Schizosaccharomyces pombe: one gene and its partners. The gene in region 1 interacts genetically with each later gene. Each region holds a gene or a part of one and is shown in the gene's direction. Other genes may lie near its edges. The genes, in order: pku80, ppk8, ftm6 and ccq1.

Region 1 (4,679 bases):
GTTAGTATTTAATAGCAATAATAAATTTTGTTTAGACTTGACAAAACTTACGTTAAGTTAGGTTTTACTATGGCAATGAAAGAAGAAAGAAGAGAATTTTGTAAAAGAGGAACACGTTTCATTATAGTGTCTGTATCCTTTAAGAGCAACAAAGTCCAATAGGGGGCAACGAAAGGTTCAATAGAGGAAGGATGTTCTTCAGAGAAGATGGTTTGAGATGCTAAAATAGTTGATGGTCTAACCTGCAGTTCGTAATTTTCAAGTGTGTTGGTGGAAACCGACATAGGCCAGAGTAAGCTTAAGTTAATCGATTGATTTATCTCTAAATAAGCCGTATGCATGTTAATTAAAGCCTCATATGTAGTAGCAAGAACCGAAGCAAGATTTGAGTGATGAGGGATTTGAGCGGCATACACATCGAATGGGACGTTTTGGCTTGAATATTTTTCAGTCAGTTTTAAGATGTGTATACACTCATTTTCAACATAATTCCGTTTTGCTTGTTCATATTTAAGTCCAGTAACTAACTTGACTACTATATGATCATACATCGTGTTTACAGTAGGGCGATATACGGTAGCTGTAGGCACATTTAATACAAAGACGACATGAAATAAAGACATTGAAGATCTCGATTTTGATGAAGATGATTTTACTTCAAAACTTCCTGTCGAAGGGTGTGAAGATTCGGGCTTTGATACCAAATGGCTCGAAGAAGCATTAGACTCAACAGTAGTTCGTGGTTTCCTTCGTTTAGCCCACTCACCGTTCGGACCAATATGAACAGGACATCCCAAAAAAGTAAGACCATCCACCCAAATTTCAAATTTTTGATTGCAAAGTTCAATACGAGGACTTAGCATATTTGCGAGAAAGCCTTTTTCATAACCAAGTACATGTGTATCGTCAGCTACTTCAGTAAACCTATTATTCTCATCATCATCGCTGTCATCAAGGTCGAGCATCCCGATTGCAGACTCCGCTGAATCATTATTATGATGAGTGGCTTGTAGACGTACTTGAGGTTGTAGCGGCCAGTGAAAGACGAAATTAGCTCCTGATGTTGTTTTTTCAACAAGGAAAATGGCTACTAATCGAGGAGTTAAGCGTACCATTTTGGCGTTTTAAAACAAAGTATAAATGTGTATGTTCGATAATTGAAGTACATATGTGTGTTTTTTAATATATTTTTCACAACAGAAAACCAAATATCACCTTAAACATTATACCTCAAGGGGGTGGTATCGTTTTCTGGTAATTTGCGTGTAGTACGAAAGATTTGTGAGCGATATGCATCTGGCAGCTCGGTGTTTTAATCGCCTAGTACAAAACTAATAAGATCTAACATGAATAGTTAAACTGAATGTTAACTAATTATTGACATCTTGAGATATGAGTTCACGGCTTTGTAAATTAATGTGTGAATTGAAAGTAAAAGCATCGCTATGCAAAATTTCTAATGTGCGTAAAACCTTAGCAACTTTAATAGCTCCAATTCAATTCTCAAGAGTTTCTGATTTAAGTTATAAAAATGAATTGACTAATTTATATACAATGTTTTGGGTTATTTACATTTCAGTCACATGTGCATTTGCACATATGCTGCTGGACTTACTGTTAATGTAGTATATTCATACCGCGAAGAAAATACCTGAATCATTTAAAATGACCGTGTAATTGATATCTAACTGTTGAAAGCATCGGAGGCCCCAATGTTCTACAACAAATCTCACCTTGCTTTGACCTCCACCAAATCTGTATTCCTTAACAATTCGTATGAGTGATAAGGAATGTACTGTTTTTGTACTTGACTTGGGCAAAGATATGGGGACCTGTCACCATGGCAGGTCTCATTCTGATCTCGAATGGACTTTGTCGTATTTTCACGACGAATTGTCTCATAAGGTATTTTGCTCAACATTATCGACACCCTATTGACACATACTCAGTTTTTAGCAAATAGGAAGACAGACGTAGTTGGAATCGTTGGTTACAAATGCGATGGTATTCTATTGTAATGTTTTAAAGGTACACTACTTCTAACTTTTACGGTGTTTAGATACGAAAAATGATTTAGCTGAGCAGGAAGCCTATTGGAATATCAGTGTTTTGTATCCTATACAAACGTAAGCTTTCTCTTAAATGCTCCATTAACTTCTTAACTAGTGCCTTATTTTCAAAGCTACAATCCGTTTCTCAAACGTTAAAACCAAGCAATACTATGCAAGGCGATCTGATATCTGCAATAGTTGTGTCCTTTGATTTGATGGCTCGGCATTGTAAAAAGAACAAATGGAAGAAGAAGATGATAGTGCTTACGGCAGCTAGGGGGATTATCGACTTTAGTGATTACATTGGAATTGCCGAACAACTACTGCAGCATGATGTTTTTCTAGGTGTTTATGGAGTTGATTTTGATCAAGAAGATATTAATTATTCTGAGCCTTTAAAGGAATCTCAGAAAAAGGAAAACGAAGTTCGAATTCAAGAGTTTGTTGAGAGTTGTCATGGTCAGTACTGCACATTTCAACAGATTTATAACAACATCGGTAAACCTTGGGTTCGTAAAGTGAGACCTGTCGCAATCTTTAGAGGTACATTTAGTATTGGTAATAGAGACAGCAAAGATACGTCTATAAGCATACAGGTTGAAAGATATCCTAGAACTCGTTTAACTAAACCGCCAACATCATCTGCTTTTTATGAAAACGATATGTCTAAAAATTATGAATGTCTTAATATCGAAAATTCAAATGTGGAAAACAAAAGTATGGAATCTGATGCAGTGTCTACTGTTCGATCGTACATGGTTCGTGATCCAAAAACAAACGATTCTTTTGAGGTTAAAAGAGAAGACTTGGAAAGCGGTTATAGTTATGGTAGGACAATCGTCCCGATCAGCCGATCAGATGAAGACGTATTGGCTTTAGATACAATACCCGGTTATGAAATCCTTGGATTTATTCCTAAATCTAGTCTTCCAATTTATTATACCATTAGTGATACTAATATAATCGTTCCAAAAGATGACTTCGAAAGCAAATTAAATTTTTCTGCCTTTGTTCAATCCCTTGAACGTGAACACCGATATGCGCTCGCAAGGTTTGTTTCTAAAGATAAGGGCGTACCAGTTTTGCTGGTCTTGATGCCTTACGTGGAGTTTAAAAGACATTACTTGGTTGATATACAACTTCCATTCGCTGAAGATGTTCGGCCTTATTCTTTCTCAGAGTTCGAGAAACTGTCAAATGAAGAGGATATGCGACAAATTGATTTTGCCGTAAGTAATTATATCGATAATATGGATTTAGATTCCTCTGATTGTGGGTTCAATCCTCCTTTTGAGCCCGAAAATACCTTTAGTATGATACCACATAGACTTCAACAAGCTATCAGTTATTATGCAAATTCACCAGAAGGCGATCTTCCTCAACCAAATATTTACTTAACACGTTACACCAATCCTCCAAAAAGTTTACTTGATAATTGCATTTTGGACTTGAAGTTGATTAAGGAAAAACTTACAGTGAACGTCCCCGTCAAACCAAAATATTCTTCTCAAGAAACAGCCTTCGACACAGGCGCCCCAATATCAGAGGAACAAATAGAAGAACTACTAAATTCTGGTCTCGATGAACAGGAAGGAGAAAAATTATTAGTCCTTCACGTTAGTGAAAAAGACCCAGTAGGCACTTTCACTGAAGTTTTGAAAAACCCTTTTGGACTAGAGGATGCTTTGACAGAAATGGAAAAAGTAATTAAAAATCTTATTGACAAGTCTAAGTACGATCTTGCTTTGCAGTCATTGCAATCTCTCAGGTTACACTCAATTTTGGAAGACGAAGTTGAAAGATTTAATGAGTATCTTACTCGATTGAAAAAGGACGTAATGCAAAATAACAAACCCAAGGAGAATGAGCTTATTAACAAAATAAGATCATCTGGATTAGATATTATTCTCCATGATGAATTGACTAGACATGATAATTTTAATAACATTTAGCATAGGACAACAATGACTTGTCTTACTCGAACATAAATAAATAAATTTTATTAAATACTTGCAATATTTTTTTTACTTTTATCCAAATTTCTAATAAAAATTTTTAAGTCATGAATCCGCTATTTATTAGCATATAGAATACACGGTCGCAAAAATAGAAAATAGTTTTAACTTAAGTAGTTTAGGTAAACATACCTATGATATTTCAGAAAACACAACTATCGTTTAAAAACTTGGTGAGAGTTCCTTGCATTTTTTTATTTATATTCTATCTTTCACAATTACATTATTCAAAGAACATTTTAGACTTACTTTCACGAATTGGACAAATATCGGGGACATGCTTAAGGAGCTACAGCAGTGTTCCTTATTAGTGATACTAAAATTTAATAGTTTGGTCGTATCTATTTACCTACCACTGACTTTTTGATCTGTTACGCTTCGGCGATTGGAAAGCGTTCCTGAACTTTCTGTCATTTTAAATAAAATTTAAATTTTTTAAATATTTAAATTAATTCGATCAAAATGACTGAAGTCGAAACCACACACATGAATGCAGGTACAGAGAGCCAACAAGAGCCTGCTGAGCTAGCTGAAAAGCAAAAGGCTATAGGAAACGCTTTCTATAAAGAAAAGAAATATGCAGAGGCTATCAAAGCCTATACAGAAGCCATTG
Region 2 (4,894 bases), on another chromosome or scaffold:
ATTCCATTTTTTAAAAAGCACTTTTTTAACAAAATTTACATACTTTTCCTTATTTGTGCACCAAACTGCCACGACGCCGGTTTTGCTTAACGATTCCTGAATTGGTAATGCTTTTAAATATCCAAGGTTCCTGTTCACCTTATAGACAGAGCTCCTAGCTACAGATTTATTCGGCCATGGAGGGTCTATAATTATGCATTTGGGTTTTTCTAGATGGCCATCAATTGCTTCTAAAAGGATTTGCGCAGTTTTCTCCACGTCACCCATAATAAAAGAGGAACGAGCAGGGATGTAGTAAATTGAATCCCTACAATTAGTTTCAGACGATTCAGTAATAACCTTTGATCCCTTCAGCTTTAATTTTATAGCGGACGCTCCATCATTTTGGACACATTGTTGATAAATCTCTTCCAATCCAAGTTCAACTGTATCTTTAGACTTTATAGTTATAAATGAATATGACGGTGGAATAGTATTCAACATTTTCAACCATTGCAAGCACTGATCCTCAAACTGTATAACCGGTGCTTTAACTAGTACTTTGAAAATGTCTGAGTACCATTGCACTAAAGGAGCATTTTCAGCTTGAAAATGGATTTCTGATGCACTAGTATTTGACCTGTATACGATATCTTGAAATTGAACATGGTGTGATTTATCGGTTGATTGATTGTCATCCAAACTGCGCAACTGTAAAGCACGACGAACTCGCTGAAGGCTTTGCAGTACTTGCCCTACAGTGCCTTTGCCACTGTTTTCATAATCCGAAGTTGATTTTTCGGGGAGTAAATATGGCTTCACGACAGGCTTCGTTCGAGTGGGCAAAATATGTTTATTAAATTGCAGAGATGTTGGCAAGTCAATGAGACAACTAGTGTCGTCCATGTATAATATACATGGCATTAAAAATTACACGAATACCGAACCTCAAACAATCGTGATAAATGAAATGCACAAGGACACCGCTGAATTTCGTTATAGCAATCTATTAAATTAGTAGCTCAAAAAATAGCTTATGTGCGCTCAACTCAAAATAAGAAGTAGCGAGTTGAGTTAATTAAATTCAGTCGGATAAGAATAATTGAAAATACCGCTCTCGACGCGTGACAAACGTGTATACTTTATCGAAAGTTACTCGATAGGTTTCGTCGTACCCATCAACTGGAGTGCAGTTAAACTTATTATGCTTAATACCAAATATTGAAACAACAAATCTCTATTGATATTTTAAAAACTTCCATTTAATGATATTTTTTAAAACTAATTTACGAAAACCGAATCTAGTTAACGTAGTTCTTTCAAACTAATACGGAAACATTGGTGTGCGATTTTCGATACTCCCCACAATAACATTGAACGATATAAAAAATCCAAGCTATTAAGAAGTACAAATTTTTCTATTGAACGAATTAGGTAATCAAAGCATTCATAGCTTGCAAAAACCAATGTTTTGTGGTTAGTCAGCCTTCAAAATGGTAACAAATTTATATGCTGCCAGTACGAAATATTAATTACATAAGGAAAACGATATGCTTAGTCTTACAAATACACACCTACCTTATCTCGCCTTAACGTCTCCACTATCAAGTAAGCAATTGCTGGTGATGACTAAATATATTTAATAACAAGCATCATAAAGATCGTTAGGATAGGAATCTGCAAAAATCGGAGCGTAAATAAATAAGCAGTTAATGGCGTAATGTTTTCACAAAATGATAACCACACTATTATAAAGCCATTACTTTTTTGACGAGATAGCATCATACAATTTATTGATAGGATTCAAGCAAAGGACCTGCAATCAGTATATAAATACGCTTCGTTTTTATGTTCAATTCGATCTTAAATTTTAGTTTGCCGATTCTATAGAACATTTTGGCATTGGAGTTTATGAATTTTTAAAAAAAACAACGCAGTCCGGCATTCTACGGTATTTGCTTTCGACGTTAATATATATCGAAACGTGGAACCATATTTTATTCACATTAATTTCCTCATCGAACCAACTCCGGTTTATCTCCTCGGACATTTATTAGATGAACCTATTCGGCTCGTGAGATTTGCTATATAAACATTACTAAATTGGGAATTGTCGTTACCAATTTTTTTTGCGATCAGGATCGACATTGGGATGCATAATCGTTTCGCTTCGTTTTAGTTAAACATTTTTTTATTTTGCTTGTATTGCATAGACATTGCGCGATTACAATTTTTTTGGTTGTTTACTTATTTGCGGTGTTTATTTTATTTCTTGTCAGTCATTATCAGGGAAGCGGTATTTGTTTGATTTTCTTTCCCGTCATTATAATCGGTTTCACTTAATTTCTGGATTCGTTTTATTTATTCTCCTTAATTATCACTTAATTCATTAATATATCTTTTTTACTTTTTTTTTGGAAAGAAGCTTTTACAATCACAATTCTTAGAGCAATGGCTGTGATCACGGAAGAGAACTCTAATAATTTATTTTGCACAGATTCATTGGAATTAACCTCGGTATGTTTTCTGCCTTTAATTTTTTTAGTTATCTTTTTTTCTTTAAAAAAAAGAATAGAAAAAAATCCTTATTTTTCTAAATATTCAAATATGGTGTACGCTAACTAATGATATTAGAATAAACAGGATGATCAAGTTATTTCGAATTACTTAAAGCCCGTCCGTTCATACCCCTACATTAAATATTCTCGAAGTAGCTTATTATTAACGGCATCTACAACTTTACCCGAAAACTTTGTGATTTCATTTACCAACTCCATTGAGAGTGAAGAGAGCGATAAATCTGATTACCTTCTCGATCATGCTCATAGCTTACAGGAATTATCGACTACTCACTCATCACTATCAAGCACTTTAACATCTATGTCGGAAGAGTCATCTTCCACAGAATCGAAATTTGCTACCCTTAATGATGGCATAAATGGTGGTAATCCATATAGCAGACTTTATCGAAAAAATCCATCTTCTGATCCAAACGATATCCCACCTCAGTTTCACTTTAAAAAGAAGTCTAAATCATTTTATAGTAGCATGTATGATAAGATGAAGATCAGAATTAATATCCTTCCGAACGGAAACGACAATTTTATAAAAAAACGGAACTCCGGCTTCGCTCTGGCGCCTATTGCTTGCTACAATCATACTTCTGATCTTCGAAAATTGCTGAAACACAAAGTAACTGGTAGCAATGCTAGCATCTTTAAGAGAATCAACCCGAGATCAAGAAAGAGAGTTGTAAACCCGGAATGTTCCGTAACTGATACACCTTATGGAAAGTTAAATAATGTCATTGGGGAGGGAGCGAGCTCTTTCATTCGGGTCATTAATGATCGAAACAAATTGCCAATTTACGTTGCCAAAGTATTTCGTCCTCCATTAGATACCTCATTACTGCGCAGGTATGTACGTTATTTCATTGCAGAGTACACTTTTGCGTCGACACTCAGGCATCCCAATATCATCAAGGTATTAGACATTATATACAAAAGGCATACTATTTTACAAATAATTGAGTATGTTCCTTATGATCTTTTTACCTTTATTACCAAAGGTCATTGCTCTGCTTTAAAAGCTGATCAAATGTTTTTTCAATTGTTAGATGGCGTGGCTTATATGCATTCCCTTGGCATTGCTCATCGTGATATAAAATTAGATAATATTATGCTCGATGAAAATTTAAATGTTAAGATTATTGATTTTGGTACTGCTTTTGTTTTTCATTATCCATTTGAATCAACCACTCTGATGTCTGATGGTGTAGTCGGTTCAAAACCATATGTTGCTCCCGAAGTTCTTACTCAGAAACCATATGATCCGAGCGCTGTAGATGTTTGGTCTTGTGCAATTGTTTACTGTTGTATTGCTTTAAAGAGATTTCCATGGAAAGTGCCGCATACATCGGATAAACGTTTTAATTTATACGTTACTCAACGAAATGACCCTAACACGAAAAGCCAATTGATAGAATCTTTACCGATGAACTCAAGAGATACGATTTATCATATGCTGGACATTGATTTTAATACAAGATGTAGCATTTCGGGAGCACGAAGCACTACATGGATGCAACAAGTTCGGAAAACTCTAATCTAAGGAGAATTTGTCTACTTTAGAGATTTTTATCTATTTATTTTTTTTATGATGTTAAGGATTATGAAGTCCCTTTAATGATCGCTATTAACTTATAAAGGGCAAGGACGTTGAAGTGTTCACTTGTAGACGCTTTACTTCATCGTGAACTTGAGCAAATCTATTACTAAGAGCCATGAATAATTTGTGCTCCTCTTTGATAGTTTTCAGTAATGCTAGATAGTTAATACAAGTTTTACAAATTAAAGGCATACCCTCGGGACTATTATTCTGTGGCGTAGTCTCAACTTGCTCCAAATGTTGTTCAAGTTCACCAATAGTGGCAGCATACAGATCTGTACGTTTCTTAGCGTTTTCTGTAAATTGCTCAAAGTAGTTCATTAGGGGATCGTTTGACGCGAAGGGATAGGTTGCGCCAGGTGTTTTAAAAACGTCCAAAATACGTGAACTAATGCGAGCATTCGAAGTATCTTCGTCAACTACACGCTTCGTAGTTTCAATTTCGTCGGAATCAATTAAAAGTGCAGTCGAGACAGAAGATAAACGCTTTATTTTAGTTAGAAACAAATAAAACTTGGAGATAATAGAAGGAAATAACTCACTCTCTGTACTTCAGCGACATCATTAGGGACGGATTCAACCAATTCGGAAACAGTCCCCAACTTAGTTTGTAGTTCCTCTGCAAGTTGGATTTGGCTAAAAATTTCTTTGCTACGGACATGATTAGAACAAATTTTGTACATAAGGTAACACATACTCTAAGTCATCTAAAAATTTTTGAGTATTAGCGTTTAAGCTCGAGTATCTC
Region 3 (2,866 bases), 4.3 Mb from region 1:
TACTTGATTCACCTTTAAAGGGGTTACCGGGATTATTTTATTTATTATTTGTTTATCAATGGATTAATATCCAGTTATTTTAATCTCACTTTTTTACACAGAAATTGTGTAGTAAGTTCATTCTTATTTAATATACCACCTATTTATTTTTTACAAATGAATATTTTTTTACTGGAACGTTTTAAATACACATAACCTTTGAGTCGATGTGAAATAATGTTTTGTTCAAACTTAAAAGTTGCGAATCTGACATATAGACAAAAAAAAAATAAAAAGAAAAAACTGGTTACCTTCATAAACATATTTTGCTAATTTATTGAATTTAATTATTTTCAACTTGCTTTCCCATTTTCCCAACAATTTTTTTATCTATAATATATATTTTACAAAATTAATATAGTACATCGCATGGTTTTCTTTAAAACGACATAAACGTATAATAATAAACGGGGATTCAAAGTAATAAATCGAATCCAAATCAACTTTCAAATACATCCATTTCATCTACTTTACCCTTATATTCCCCTTCATATCCCCAACAAAAAACAGGAATTTGCGAAAGTAGTAAATGGTAAAAGTGAATAAATAGAATCAAGGTTAAAAGCTTACTTGTATGCATAAGAAGATAACTCCCTCCTCTTTACTTTTGCTTAAAAACAGATTCTGAGATTCGGGACTAGCATCGGTAATATAAGTTTTTCTTTCATACTGTTGAGTACTAGCATCAGAACCCTTAATGGTAGGAAGATCATCATCATGACTACGCCTTTGTTCAATCGAGTAAACATTTGCTGGTTCGTGCCAGTCACACTGAGAACAACAAAGTACCTATTATTAAAAATGTTAGCAAGCGATCGCTAACAAGTTGAAAAGTAAACACCTCCAACTATTCCATGGAAAGCATGTAACAATGAAGATCAATGAATGGCTATTAGCTTAACAAACTTGTAAACTCAAAACAGACTAACAACGTTTGTCAGGCACTAAGAGCAATAATGGAACAGACTTCATATCAAACGCTTTCTTGAATGTTCTTACCTTATTCGTATAAACCGGAAGAACAGGCACAATGAGAACCGTTACGGTTTTCAACTGACGACATACTCGGACTAAAAACAAAATGTTATGTTAACATTAATAAGACAAGTTTAAAAAAAAAAAGAAAGAGCCAATTGCTTTCGAAACTACTCAACTTGTTTATTTCTCGTACCAGTCTTCTTTGAACTAAAAAAAAAAAAAAAGCATTAGCAAAATGTGTTGTCAAACGGATAAAAAGAGAACAGGAAGAAGATTGCTGGAAACAATTTTAAAACAGCGAATAAAAAAAAAAGAAAAAATAATAATAATAATAAACAAAATACGAGTCGCTAATTTTTGAAACTAATCGCTTCCAACAACTGTTTCATTATAACTTCACCATTTTAATATTGTCCCCAAACAGCATGATTTAATTCTCTTTCACTAATTTCATACCACACAGGACACGTAAGTAAAACATCCTTATAATCGTCAGTGGATATCCACATATCTCGTAAATGTAATGGCATTGTTAAAAAAAATAAACACTCAAGTGAATAGAATTATGAAGAATTCGAGTCTAGTTCAAAATATTTGTTTTGACAGAGTCCCTCTATTTATACCAAGACTAAGCCTCACAGTGAAATATTGTCTAGCAGTAAAATTGCTGATTTATTTATTATATTGTTGGTACATTTACTCGGAAGTACCATCGGCTTCATCTAAATTCCGATCCTTTACATTTGGATGCGTCGTAGTATATCATAACAAATTTTTTCCTCGTTTCATTAGAACTCACTCCATTAACTCCATTAGAACGTTTTCTAAATTTCAAGTCATTATACTTTTCTCTATTGAGAAAGTCACTAGGTCAGAAAGCAAGAATCATTCTTACTCGAAAACCGATATTAGTGATCTGCACCAGGGCTATAATAATCCACCATCAAGATTCATATCACAATAACAATTCCATAGTATCTTGCTATATACGTGTAATGAGTATTCGATACTGGCTTGATTGCTATTTCTCCTTTGCTTGTAATCGTAAAATTGACTTGAAGATCTAAACCTTCTAATGCAATCATTGGAATTCTGCCTAACCTGATCAAATATGGCTTGATCACCGTTAAGTTAAAAGCAGAAGCTATGCCAATCAGTATGATTGTAACTTACAAAAAAATATAGCACAACGACATACAACATTATGGTACAATAAAGAAGACTTGATATATCAAGAACGAGGTTCAGTTTGTGCTCCGTTTATATTATTGTATTTCTATATATGACATTACTTGATGCAACCGCTTAAATATGTACTTTTGTGTAGTTATACTCGCAAGTACAGTAGCATTTTTAAAGTAGCGGTGATGTTGACGAATGGTTTGTTTCAAATCCATCCATTTCAATTTCAATTGTAAATTTCTCTTTTTCAATTATTAATCAAGTAAGTTGAAGTGTATCAGCACAATAAATTCTGACTATTACTACTCTTAAAATAAAACTCAAGCGAAACTAATTTTTAATAGCAAGTCATATTCTTAGTTTGATATGCTATCCGCTTTGGTTTTGCATTGTTATGACTTTGTATAACCTAATAAGGTGACGAAAAATCAGTTCGTTTATATTTTTGATGAGAAGAATTCACTATTATTACACAGAAAAACATTTACTTCTTATTAGATACCTTCAATATAATATATTTTTTAAATGTAATAGCGACGACACTACCCATAATTTACAATACATTGTATGGTAAACAACTGAGTAGTTGATACACCCGATTTTCATTGAGTCATACACTTTGCGCTTACTATCACTTTATTTGATTAAATGCATAATTTACAAGCCA
Region 4 (5,055 bases), on another chromosome or scaffold:
TTATCAACACCTTCCTTGGCAATAACGACTGGGTCAGTCTCGGTGTAACTACCAAAGTAAGGAACACGTGCTTTGATAGCATTCTGCTTTAATTGATCAAAAGCACCAGCACGGAAAGTATCGGCAGCAACCAAACACGATTTCAAACCTCTCCTTTGGTAGTGCAGAGCAAGCTTTGAGCATGTTGTCGTTTTACCACTGCCTTGTAAACCTACCATCATGATCACTGAAGGTCTCCCTTTTTTAGGAGTAAAAGCATCAACTTTAGGGTCAACCAAACTGCAAAGTTCATCAAAGACAGCCTTCTGGACGATTCGCTTCCCATTTATACCCTGAGGCAAAGTTGATACATTGATTTTTTTCTTAATATTTGAACGTAATTCTTGAACCAATCGCACATTAACATCTGTTTCCAAAAGTGCCGTACATATATTTTTCAGCAGAGTATCGACAAGCTAAATAAAATTATTAGTAAAGGTTCGTATTAAAACGATAGATATCCTAATCAAAACAGAACATTGGGAAAACAAACTAGAGGTCATTAAAAAAATCTTCAGCTGCCTAAAAGTTGCTTGGTAAGTAAACCCTTTTAGTAACTTGAAACCAAAATCTAACATTGCATTATTAAAAAGGGTTTTAAATTTTCATGTCAAGGTAACGTCGATGTAAACGAAGATAATCCCAATATGCAATCAAGATATATATATATAAGAGATTGGATAAACCAGCTACGCAACTAGAAAAGCATATCTGTGGTAGATGATTTTTCTTATCGACAAATTTCGTAAAGCATGAAACGATGTTCATATACAGCGTGTAAAACATGGCAAATGCAAAATTTTTGAAGAAATCAAGCAAAGATGTATTAAATATTTTTATAAATGACATGGCTCACTCTCCGTATGAGAACAAATTTTCGATAGAATAAAACATACCTCTTCATTCACTGAAGTGGCCTTAGAAAAGTCCCCTAACGCAGAGTTCAAACGACGCCCTAAATCTGCAAAAACCATTTTGTCAGATTAAAAACTTCCAACCAGGCAATTTGAAGTTCGTCAAATGTGGTTGGTAGAGGATGAAGTCGTTAAGGACATGCAGTGTCTTCAAGCGAAAAGTCAATAGACAATTGAGGCAATATGATAAATGCCTAAAGATGAAGTAAAGAAGAGTTTGATATTATCTTTTTAAAAAATATTTTCACTGAGTTTAATACCGAGTTATTTCGCCTGCAAGCTTTTTATTGTTTTCAGTATAGGTGATATATCGACAGGATAGCGCAGCACAGCATTCCTATATAATACCTTGTTTGTATAATATTTTAGAATTAATCTATAGCAAAAGTTCAGTAGGTATAATCTTAAAAAATAAAATACTTATTAAGATTATACTCATGTGTAAAAGTGTTTGACTAGGTCCTGACAATTATTGATGCTTCTCTTTCTCACATTTGTAATAGAAACACGAATCGTAAATTCCGTGGTGGCTAACTTTGTCCCACAATCTTTTGATTCATACTTGCTGTAGTTTGTGTTTTAAGACGCTAATAGAAAAAGATCTAAAAGATTGATATTTGAAACTTTTTATATATTTTTCAGGCGTATGTTCTTATTCACCTTAAACTTTTTTGGAATTTTTCGTGCGTTAATCCAGCAATTAGTCTTAAGATCCAGTTTTTCCAAACTTCACGAAGGAAAGCACTTCCAAGTCCTTATAAGAGCCAGAATGAATTGCAATTAGCTGTTTTTTCAATATAAGACTAAAGATAAAGAATCGTTAACCCCTTAACACAAAATTTGAAAAAGAAATAACATTTACTACGCGTTATGGGTGAATAGTTATATTTGTTTACATAATAGACTTAAATAGAGAGGTGACGCGTTACTTTATTAAAATAAAGATTTGTTATATGAAAAAAAGTAATTAGAGCTCTTTTAAATGCTGTAAACATTTTCCGCTACACAGTGTATTTCGTAAAAATATGTACAAATTTAAAGGCGAACACGGAATTCTGGGAACAACATTTGGGTGGTTATTTGTAAAAACGATAATAAAAGACTCTTTTTAGACCATCTAATTCCTCTAAACGTGCGAAAATTATTTCTTTTCGGACGCTAAATTGGTCTCGTGTTGCAATATTTAAACATTCAATTTCTTGTTGAATTTTAACGTGGATGGCAGTATGAGCGAAATTAACGACTTTACGAATTCAATTATTATCAATGAAAGTGATACGAAATACGAGGTTTACTCTGAGGTGAATTCCAGTAATAGATGGATTGCCAAAGAGGATTGCCCTAGCCCGTTGGAAGATGTATGGCTTCTAAAATTAGCAGGCCATAAGAGAAAATTGGAAGAGCCTCTAAGTTGCATGCGTAATGAAGAACCTGCATCCAAACAAAGAGAGATAGAAAAATTTTTACGGACTGATTTGGATCACTCTGAAAATGACTTTTTAACTCAAGAGGTCGATGAATTCCCTTCTACCCAGCAGTTATTTCCTATTCCTTTGCAAAATGACACTGCCTTTGATTCTTCGGAAGAATCTATTACTAAATCTTCTAAATCCTCGTTCAGCGTGCTAGATATTGGCCTTCCAATGTCTGCGCTTCAAAGGAAAATGATGCATCGGTTGGTTCAATACTTTGCCTTTTGTATTGACCATTTTTGTACTGGTCCTAGCGATTCAAGAATCCAAGAAAAAATACGTCTTTTTATTCAATCTGCTCATAACATTGCAAAGCATCCTAGTCTGTATGATACTGAAGTTCGAAATCCCTCCGCTGCTGAATCCACTAATTCCCACGTTTCTTTAGATGCTTCTAATTTCTCTTCATATGCCGAAAATTCTTCAAAATTTCTTTTTTTGCAAGAATTATTCAAAAATCTTTCCCCCTCTTATTCTAAGACATTTTTTTTATTTATCTCCAACCAATTTCTTGCAAACACACTTACTCAATGGCTAAAATCTCAAAACATTGATGCTGAGTTATGGGCTGAAGAGGATGCAAAGACTAGCCAACATCCAGCAATTTGGATTTGTGTGTCCAAAAAGGCTCCCTCCGCTTCTCATTTTCTTCAATCTTGCCCAGATTTGAGTGCAACCATTTTTTATGATATCGAAGCATACATGAGTGTCACTAGTTCCTTGCCCTCTATTCAAAGCCTTGTCCTTAGGCTCATTCACTTGGGATCTATAGAACATGCCATAAAATGTTTTCAATCATCTTACAATGCCTCATTTTTAGTGAACATTGTGGGTGTGGTTGCCACTCTTAGTTCTTCTTCCGAGGAAAATTCAGAAGCTTCAAATTTGAGCACTTTGTTTGAGAAATCTGGGAACTTTGAGGAAATCCTAGGCTCAGAATCTCACTCTTCTATTACAGAAAAAACTCGAGATATTGCTAAAAATGTTGCGACCTGGTTAAAAAATGGAGAAAACTTCTCTTCTTGGCCACTACCTCCTCTAATGGATTTAGCAAGCTTATCGGTTGCAGAACCAAGGGATTCTCAGCCTTCTGTTTCTCAGGTGAACGATACTTTTGTCAAATCATCTGATAGTACATTTCCTTCGTCGCAAAGCATGCAATCACCTTCCAAACTCCACTCTTTAACAAGTAATGCCACCGATTTACTGTCATCAAGCTCACTAAAGAAAAACTTTTTTTCTCAACAGGAAGCTGATGAGGTAGAACTTTCCAATAATTATGATCTCCAAGGTGCAGCTGTCCAATACCTGCAGCGTCGTTTAAGAATGGTAGAAGATGAATTACACGAAGCCATTAATTCCAAAAACGTACAACAAAGTCGCTCAGAGGAGTTGGAGCAGCAAATTTCTAAGCTGACGGATAATTTACAAGAATACAGAAACACTGTTCGAGAGCTCAAGCTGGATTTGGAGAAATCGAAGAAAAAGAATGAAGACCTTTCAAAGCTAGAAGTTGAGAAGGTTGAAGAAATCGCAAACCTTAAAAAAGAGCTTACCCACTTAGCTAAGCAACAAGAATTTGGCTTTAAATATGTACAAGAATTTTCGAATGAAGATCTACAAGGCAAATTAATTGAAGCCAACGAAAAAAATTACAAACTTACTCAACTGTTAAAAACACAGAAAGAAGACGCTGATTTCATTACTAATCAATATCAAAATGCATCTACTTTTGCTGCTGAGCAAAGCAAAGAGGTTGCGAAACTTCAAGCTGAATGTAAGCGCTTACAAGCTATAAATTCTAAAGTTATGGAAGAGGTAAAAGTTTATAATGATTCAAGGGTAGAAGCATTACTCGCTAAGGTCTCTTCTCTGGAGGAGACCTTAAAAATTTTAGAGCAGAAGTCTCTTCCCAAATTTACTCCACATAATCAATCACCAAGGATTATTGATTCTAACTAAATCATTAACGATCAAGAACTTCAGTGGAATCAACTATAAAAAGTTCGTTTAGTCATACGGTTATTTGATTAAATTATGTCGTAATCAGCTTTTAATGAAACAATTTTAATTGTATTAATTTTTCAACAGTTGCAAAAATATATTGGTTTTCTTCATATATTCATCAAGAAGTTAGACATTTCGTTACATACTAGATTCAATGATCTATGTCATTAATTTTGAATTTGTTTTTGAAAGATTTTAATTGTATCAAATTCGAATATGCATCCTCAAAAGATGCAATATCAACATTGATGAAATAATTTTTTATGCTTCATATCATTTTGTTATGCTCGCAATATCGAACCTGTATAAAACTTCATGCACCTTATGCTCAACAGGTAAGGACCAAACAACCAGCAAGGATTGTAAAGCCTTTAAATACTAATTTTTCATCTGAATAGCACGGTCGAGTATATTCGGCTTCTTACTATCTTTCTTAGCACGATCCAAAGCCAATGTACCGTTTAGTTTTTCAACAACATCATATGTAATGTCTTCATCATTCAAATAGACAACTCTATTGTTATCAAAATCCACCACACAGAATTTAATAACGCTGAAAATGCTTTCTGGATACTGTGTGCGAGCTGCAAGACGTAGTTTTGTATCGATGAATTTTTCCTGGG

The links.
Region 2: mutations in pku80 (region 1) and ppk8 together harm fitness less than expected from each alone (positive genetic interaction), as found in Schizosaccharomyces pombe (one large-scale study listed by BioGRID).
Region 3: mutations in pku80 (region 1) and ftm6 together harm fitness more than expected from each alone (negative genetic interaction), as found in Schizosaccharomyces pombe (one large-scale study listed by BioGRID).
Region 4: mutations in pku80 (region 1) and ccq1 together harm fitness more than expected from each alone (negative genetic interaction), as found in Schizosaccharomyces pombe (one large-scale study listed by BioGRID).

Annotation. Positions count from the first base shown.
Region 1 is NC_003423.3:4,302,465-4,307,143, reverse strand, and holds pku80 (Ku domain protein Pku80 ), read left to right. Parts: upstream 1-1,741; 5' UTR 1,742-1,776; coding exon 1,777-1,905; intron 1,906-1,949; coding exon 1,950-2,004; intron 2,005-2,059; coding exon 2,060-2,126; intron 2,127-2,166; coding exon 2,167-4,003; 3' UTR 4,004-4,121; downstream 4,122-4,679. Other genes in the region: Npr2/3 complex subunit Npr3, read right to left, coding at 52-1,115; SPOM_SPBC543.02C (TPR domain protein, DNAJC7 family), read left to right, coding at 4,529-4,679. UniProt on the Schizosaccharomyces pombe protein: Single-stranded DNA-dependent ATP-dependent helicase. Involved in non-homologous end joining (NHEJ) DNA double strand break repair. DNA-binding is sequence-independent but has a high affinity to nicks in double-stranded DNA and to the ends of duplex DNA.
Region 2 is NC_003424.3:747,500-752,393, forward strand, and holds ppk8 (serine/threonine protein kinase Ppk8), read left to right. Parts: upstream 1-1,982; 5' UTR 1,983-2,430; coding exon 2,431-2,496; intron 2,497-2,613; coding exon 2,614-4,089; 3' UTR 4,090-4,173; coding exon of another isoform or gene 4,174-4,301; 3' UTR 4,302-4,340; downstream 4,341-4,894. Other genes in the region: ime4 (mRNA (2'-O-methyladenosine-N(6)-)-methyltransferase), read right to left, coding at 1-903; nucleoporin Nup45, read right to left, coding at 4,174-4,301, 4,341-4,632, 4,689-4,797, 4,844-4,894.
Region 3 is NC_003423.3:9,029-11,894, forward strand, and holds ftm6 (transmembrane helix domain-containing protein), read left to right. Parts: upstream 1-1,540; coding exon 1,541-1,981; 3' UTR 1,982-2,323; downstream 2,324-2,866.
Region 4 is NC_003421.2:1,484,124-1,489,178, forward strand, and holds ccq1 (shelterin complex HEAT repeat subunit Ccq1), read left to right. Parts: upstream 1-2,016; 5' UTR 2,017-2,179; coding exon 2,180-4,387; 3' UTR 4,388-4,555; downstream 4,556-5,055. Other genes in the region: signal recognition particle subunit Srp54, read right to left, coding at 1-455, 936-1,013; ubiquitin hydrolase Ubp5, read right to left, coding at 4,811-5,055. UniProt on the Schizosaccharomyces pombe protein: Component of the meiotic bouquet that facilitates meiotic nuclear reorganization of the telomeres to the centrosome. Links telomeres to the meiotic centrosome component pcp1. Essential for the formation of normal telomere clusters during meiotic prophase.